2 linked regions of the Astyanax mexicanus genome follow. The protein of the gene in region 1 purifies or fractionates together with the protein of each later gene. This does not show direct contact. Links are inferred from orthologs where the notes say so. Each region holds a gene or a part of one and is shown on either strand. Other genes may lie near its edges.

The links.
Region 2: the proteins of dock1 (region 1) and elmo1 purify together in Homo sapiens (affinity purification with western blotting; 12 studies listed by BioGRID and IntAct, counting the BioPlex papers as one, with this or other methods). This does not show direct contact. The link is inferred for Astyanax mexicanus from reciprocal best matches to the Homo sapiens genes DOCK1 and ELMO1.

What each region holds. Positions count from the first base shown.
Region 1 is NC_064422.1:13,828,730-13,832,654, reverse strand, and holds the start of dock1 (dedicator of cytokinesis protein 1), read left to right. Parts: upstream 1-1,434; 5' UTR 1,435-1,610; coding exon 1,611-1,653; intron 1,654-3,925. UniProt on the Homo sapiens protein: Involved in cytoskeletal rearrangements required for phagocytosis of apoptotic cells and cell motility. Along with DOCK1, mediates CRK/CRKL regulation of epithelial and endothelial cell spreading and migration on type IV collagen.
Region 2 is NC_064410.1:47,945,267-47,949,191, forward strand, and holds the start of elmo1 (engulfment and cell motility protein 1), read left to right. Parts: upstream 1-1,520; 5' UTR 1,521-1,672; intron 1,673-3,925. UniProt on the Homo sapiens protein: Involved in cytoskeletal rearrangements required for phagocytosis of apoptotic cells and cell motility. Acts in association with DOCK1 and CRK. Was initially proposed to be required in complex with DOCK1 to activate Rac Rho small GTPases.

The sequences.
Region 1 (3,925 bases):
CAGAGACCGGGCAATAACATACCCCTTCACAGCAGGACCTGTACCTGACATCCCATAAACTAAAGTTAGTGACTTCTTATTCTTTAATAATTCCTCAGGTAACTTTGTGGAGAATATGCTGCTCATACAGTTTTTATTATTTTATCTAAATATTTAAAACATGTCCATGTACATGTCCTATATACATATAAAAAACAGCAAGAAACAAAGACGAAATAGACAGTATAGGAAAAATTAAAGACACGAATATAAGAAATAGAAAAAAAAGAAAGAAATCCAAAACAATCTTAGTTAAATGAAACATATTATACCTCTTTTTAGACAAGTTAGAATAGGTCTATGAGCTAGACAAAACATGTTTTAATGAAGTTCTTCAAACAGAATCACTCACACTTAAAATAAAGAGATCTCACTCTCTATTCTTACCAGTTTTAAAGTTTTAAGGGCTCTGACACGTTTATACTAATAAGATGCAGAGAGACCAAATTGGAAATACAAAACCATGTAAAAGTTAGTTTTGCGTATATGTCTCATTTTTCTTAAAAGGCTGATTAACTGATTAGCTAATCAGCCAGTTAATTACTTAACTTGTGGGTCGGCTTATTATCCATTCAGTCTGCTGAATATTAATCAGTGATATTTAGTAGATTAATTAGCCAGTTAATGAGTAGGTTAGTTAAGTAGTTAATCAGATAATTTGCAAATGAGTCGTTTTAGTTAGTTATCCTGTCAATATGTACATTAGTTACTTAGTCAGTGGGTTAAGTAGCCAGTTTTCCAATCAGTTGGTTGATTATTCAGTCATTCATCAAGTTAGTTAGTTAGCTATTCAGTTCGGTAAATAGTCAGTCAGTTGGTTAATAAGTCAGTTTGTTAATTCATCCGGTAGCTTATTGGTCAGTCAGTTAATTAATTAGTCATTTAGTTAATTGGCTGATTAGACATTCATTTAGTTAACCCTAGTTAACGATAGACAGTCAAGTATCCCCTCAGTTAGGTTCGTTTATTGGCCAGTCCCTTGGTTAATTAGTCAGTCAGATAACGTTAGCTGATTGGATGATTAGACAGTCATTTAGTTAATTGAAGTTAGTTAGTTATAAAGTTGGTTAGCTAGTGTACATGTTTAAGCTGTTTCTTATTTTATTATTTATTTATTATATTATTATTTATTATTATTTTGTTTTTTCTCTCAGTTTTTGACTCCACTCCTCTCGTGGCGCTCACTGACCAGCGTTTGTTTTCGCCCACCCGTTTTCCGTAAACCACCCGCCTCTCCTTCCTTTTCATTGGCCGGCGAGAACGCGGCGTCCAATCGGAGTCGGCAGAAGTCTGGAGTACGGTCGCAGACGGGAACTTTTTCGCCAATCGGAGCGCAGGAGGGGCGGGACCTCTCGGAATACGGGCGGAAAAAAAGTTAGCGTGGCGCGCGCGCGCCCTCACAGCCCGCAGCGGCGGCAGCAGTTTAGTGGAAAATGGCGGCTGGAGGAGTCTGCCCTCAGCTCCTGTAACCGAGAATTACCGGAGAACCGAGCGCCCGGGAGCCGAGCGGAGAAGTTACCGCGTCGCGGAGGAGCTTCTGACCCCGGCTGAGAGTTACTGCCCGCGGGAGAATGTCGCGCTGGGTTCCCACGAAGAAGGAGAAGTATGGAGTGGGTGAGTAAACAGCGGCGTTTACCTTAGAAACTAAACTAACTAAAACTAACTAAATACAGGATTAAACTCCAGATTTACCTCAGAAACACCGAGAACTCCCTGAAACTAACAGAAGATAATCTCCCGCTGAGGGTCTGCGGGACCCGCGGGCTGATACTCAGTTATTCAGAGTTTAATAAGCGCAGATCTGCGGGTCTGAGTGGGAGAGAGAGGAGTGAGGAGTTGGGAATGGCCGGTTTCCTGTGGAAGAAGGAGGAGAATAAAGGCCTGGAGAAACTGAAGGAGCTGTGTTTTTACTCTCAGCTCCTCTATTTTACTGTTTAAACTTATTTAAACTGATAATATTTACTCTTACTCTCTCTCAGGTGCGTTTGTTTGTTCTGAACAGGTTTCCTGAAACCTGTGGATCAGCGCGCGCCTGTTTTTACAACAACACAGATTTGTTTTTATCCACAACATTTGCATAACATAACATTAACCATAACATTTACTTTAACTTTACATTTAGGCAATATTTTGTTTTGTTTGTAACTTTAGTGGAGGAGTTGAGGAGACTGGGCTGGACACTAATCATTAGTGATTTAACCTGCGTTAATTAGCTATAATTAAGCAGCTCTGGAAAAAATGAAATGAAAAAAATCAGTTTCTGAATCAGTTTCTCTGATTTTGCTATTTATAGGTTTATGTTTGAGTAAAATGAACATTGTTGTTTTATTCTATAAACTACAGACAACATTTCTCCCAAATTCCAAATAAACATACAGTCATTTAGAGAATTTATTTGCAGAAAATGGGTGAAATAACAACAAAAAAAAAAAAGATGCAGAGCTTTCAGACCATATTCAGTTCATATTCATAAAGTTTTTAAACTTCAGAAATTAATATTCGGTGGAATAACCCTGGTTTTTAATCAGTTTTCATGCATCCTTGCATGTTATCCTCCACCAGTCTTACACACTGCTTTTGGATACCTTTATGCTGCTTTACTCTTGGTGCAAATTCAATTTAAGCAGTTCAGTTTGGTGGTTTGATGGTTTTTGATCTTCCGTCTTCCTCTTGATTATATTCCAGAGGTTTTCAATTTGGTAAAATCAAAGAAACTCATAATTTTTAAGTGCTCTCATGTTATTTCCAGAGCTGTAAATAGTTTGTTACCTAACTACAGTATAAGTATTACTGTCTCTGTTAGTTGTACGGTAAAGGACTGTAGGATAAGTATCAAAACTTGCAGATATGGCAGATAAAATAAAATCTACTCAAATAATGAGTATCTGAGAACATATAAAGCATATAAAACATGTATCAGCGCAGAAACTGTGGTCTTTATTTTTTTGTTTTCAGGATAGTTTTGGCCTAAAACCACAATAGTCAAATCGCAGGACATGCTGTATCATGCAAATAAAATATATAATTGTTAAAACTTTTTAAAAGTTCGATACATATGTAATAAATACACTGTGCAAAGTGGAAATACAATATATTTGCCAGACAGTGACCATATGCAGGAGAAATTTAATATATTCAGTATTAAACAACTTTAATAGTGTGAACATTTCAGTGATTTCCTAATTTTTTTCAGTGACTTTCCAATATGTTTGGTGCAAAATAAAAGCAACAGGTCCATGCTTAGTTTGGTGATTTTAACAGCTGTTTATATTAGTAGTTGGCTCATTTGAGGAATTGTGGTGATTTGGTATTTGGAAGTTCTGCAGCTCAGCTAGTGAGAGTGAGTTCATGTTCCTACATGTTTTTTTTTTACCTGGAAGTAGAGATGGGTTGACTGGTGTTTGCATACCTTTAGAGTCTGTCATTGTTGTTTTACACACTCCTGGTTTTCTGTTTTGATTCAGTTTAGTTTGAGTGACCTTTCTGAGAGATAAACTCTTATCTCACTAGCTCCTAATCTCTTTAAACTACCAACAAATTAAACAACTGTAGGTCTTTAACTATACTGTACGCTGTTTGTAGAAGCAACACTTTCCTCTTGATTGTACACAACTAAAAATAAAGCTGCTGAAACTCTTCTCTGAGTGATATTATAGAAAAATCACTTTCATTATGAATCACTTTTGTTTAGAACATTGGTCTGTCACAATCAACATTTTAGTTTGGAACAGAATTATAATTTTGAGACCATTTTATACCATAACTGATTAAGTGATAATAATCCAATTATGTTGTGTAAATAATAATAATAATAATAATAATTATAATAATAATAATAATGATTAAGAACAGGCAGCAGAATTGGAAAATGAAAAAGTTTCTTAAA
Region 2 (3,925 bases), on another chromosome or scaffold:
TTTCCTATAAATCATCTTACCAAATGTCATGTTCTGTGACTACTGCATTGCCCACTGTGGTGGTAATTCCTTCAGGTATAACATGTGACACTGTAGATCAAGAAATAGAATTCCCCATCCATTTGGCACCCACTATCATACCTCACTCAATTTGCTGTGAACATGCTGGCCAGTGTTCAAACTTAAGAAAACACAGGTGTACAGGTGTGGGCATCCCCAAGCTGTCTTCTAAGGTTACACTTAATGATCATTTTCTAATGCTGCTGTCCCATGACTTTTGGCATGTTTTTAAAGTTGCCATGATTAAGGCTATCCACATATCTAATAATATTTCCGTTCAGACTGTTTAACAAAGAGAAAGAAGTGGAAGAAGATAATGAAATAGTTTTAATTAAAAGAAAGCAGTGAAATCTAGGGCTTCTTTGGTATTAATAATTAATTGTGATGAAAATAATAAATTATTAAACCTATTTAAAGCTGAGTGTTAAACTGGGAATGGCCTGATTTAGATGTATTGCATTAGTGGCAAGTGTACATGATCAGTGTCTTTAAATGGGAAAATAATATTCTGGTTCAACTAAATTTATTTGTGGGAAAATTTAAATTGAAACAAAAATGAGAAAACATTGCATGTTTAGCTTAAGAATCCTACTAATAATACTGTTAAATAAAGTCTTAAAATAATCAAATTAAGTCTATAAATAAGATACTAATGGATAGAACATGGATAGACATAGATGCATGCTTAATAACTGCATGGTAATTTATTTATTTTTTACCATCACTGACAACAATTTACTTTGTCTTTTACCACCAAATATGTTATAAATATATACTGTTATGAGGGCACCTATAAGGCACATTTTCTTCTCTCCACCATGAGGAAGCTTCCCCTCATTCTATCAAATGTGATTACACCCTTAACAGCAGAACATCACATTTAATCTACAGGTGGAGCACGTCTTATTAGAGGGGAACCTAACTGGATCCTTAGCCGGCATAAAACATTATTTTTACCCACAAGAGGAGCAGTTACTCTTGCCACTCACCGATATCTAATATTGGAATATGTAATATGCCACAGTCAGTGATGGCCATGTCATGTCATCTGCTGGTGCTTGTTTTTAATTGGCTGTAAGAATGAAACGTAATGAAACGTTTAAAATAGATTACTCTATGTGTATTTTATATCTATATTAAATATGAGTTTCACATTTTGAACTGAATTACTGAAATAGAGTAACTTTTCAATTATATTCTCATTTTTTGAGATGCACTAGTATATTTGTACATATAGTCCACATCTATGTCCATGTGATGCAGAGGTGTAGCTGTGGTGTGGTGTGTTTGTGTACGCCGGGCTGGGCTGGGTTTAGTGAAGCCATGAGTGAGAGGGCGTGGCCAGCGCTCAGGGTTTCTGCGCTCTGATTGGTCCGTGCGCCGCCTCGCGCTGTAAGCGGAGGGAAGCAGGCAGCAGAGGGAGGAGGCGGAGGTGGAGGAAGTGAAAACAGCAGCAGTGTGTGTGAGTGTGTGTCCGCGCTCTGAACCAAACACACACGCACACACACTCAGAGAAACAGAGGAACAGCGGAAAGGAGACGGAGAGCGCGCTGATACTGCCCTCAACTCCCTACAGCAGCAGCAGCCCTGCGGAGGAGCCTCGCCGCCTCAGGTCAGTGTAACGGCTTGGTGTTGAGACAGCAGCGGCGGGGGTAAACACAGCCGGCGGCCGGTCCGGGCTTCACTTTCCCGGGCGGCGGGGTGAGCAGTTCCCCGCTGGGCTGCGGAGGACAGCTGGCCGGCGCGGCACCCCTAGCTGCTATACCATACGTGTGGTTATAGGAGTGGACATAAACAGACGAGAGATGGAGAAAGAGAGAGAGAGAGAGAGAGAGGGAAGGAGGGAGGAAGGGTGGGAAGAGGTTAAAGGGGTGAGAAAAGAGTGAGAGAGAGAGAGAAAGAGAGAGAAGGGTGGCTCCTAATTACCTAGTTTTTGTATCTCTCTCTATATCATAGGCTACTTTAACTTGTGTCTATAATTGTATTGTTATTATTATGAGGCTTATATTACGGTTATATAAAGGTTAACATTGCTTTATTGAAAGCAGAGTAGTTACATCAGTTAACTAGATTTATTTATTTAGTTGGCTCCCCCAAAACAAGACCCACTAACCAACTTTCTAAAGCAAGTGTAACGTTAAGATAAAAGAGATGTTGGATAAACAGCAGGGTTTGTTGTGCAAACAACACAAAAAGTGGAAGTTTGAATGTTCAAACTGTGTGTTGTGTATACTGTCATCTATGCAGAGGGCTGTGTGACTTCAGAGTGGATCATTTGGATATACTGTGTTATTTTAGCATGTTTCTTGTTTATTTTTCTAAATAATGTCAGTTTTATTATGCAACTAACCATCTATAGGATATTTCCCCATTTTAAAACTTACCTTATTTTTATGTATTTATTTATCTTTAATATAATGTTACACTACATATCTACATCCCACCGGCTCATAAATAAAAAAATATGTATATGTGCAATAATATGTTAAGAAGTATATTTAGCTGTTTATATTCTTACTCTATTCTTACATTCTTGTTGTAAGCTTACTTATTGTAAGCTTTTTTATTTGTTGGCAACATTTTGTAGATGATAAAGCAGTGATGATTCAGCTTGTTATAGTTCACTCTTGTTTTGTTTATAGATTTTTTTGTAATAGTGTTTTTGCAACAGCTGATTCTCATCAGCATTATGGTTATGGTTCACATAAGGACCAGCATCCAATGTCCTGACTAAACAGGATGCTTTATAATAGGAAGTTAGGTCTTGCAGGTAGTTAGGAGCAGACAGGTGTAGGTGCCTAGCATAATTTAATAATTAGTATGGAATGCAGTGCTGATAGAACTCGAACCTGACTGCAGTGTTTTGTACTAGATTTTTCCCCACATCGTGCAGGGGTGTTTCTGTCTAAATACAGTAATACTTATGATTGATATATTAATCTTTTAGAACATCATGTAATATTTCTGTAGTTCTTTTTCATTCACTAAAAGTTCAGTGCACCAGATGTTTCACGATGTTTTCTTTCTTTTGTTTCATAATCAGCATCCACTCCTCTTCATTATATGAGATAATGGCTTGACAACATTGGACAAGATTTTGTCTCTTAGCAGCAACGGTCGCCTTCTTTCATCCTCAAGTAGTTGAGTCACTTGTTGGGCTTCAGGCTATGGTGACATCAGTGGCTTCGCCCAGTAAACTCTCCATGAGCTCTTGTCCATGTAATACAGACTGGCCTGCACAGATGTGTCTGAACAGAGCAGTCCAGAAGCACACATATCACATTGTTGGGTCAGTCCTAATTAAAGCACAGAGGAGTCAATGCTTAATGGATGGCTTTAGTCATTGTTGTAATAGCAGTGGACTCTCACATTCATATGTGACTAATGTGTGGTGTCCATGGTACAACTGCTTATTTGATGGCTATCTCTGTTATTATAAAAACAGCTGATGATGGCGAGTAGTGCAGTATGTACATATGGCTCATATGTGTCAGAGCTGGTTGCTATATTGGGCATCACTTTGCATGTGGTTGGTTTGTCCAGTGTCGGGTGACTTCTGGAAGGATTTTTCCATGTTGAGTTTACAGAGAAACAAAGAACATGTGATATACACTTATTAACAATAAACCTAGCGCACCAAGAATGAGTGGTTGGAATCAAATTAATTGTTATATGTAAATGTTAAGGTAATATTTGTAAGAAAAACATTAAACAATTAAATACACATTTAAATAGAGACTTTAGTACCTTATTGGGCTGCCTCTAGCCTGAATACAAAAAAGTATGGTTGGGCATAAAGGCAAATATATTCTGTATGGCATCCTGAGGCACATTTTCCTATCAAAGTTGTAGCTTGTCTTGTAGA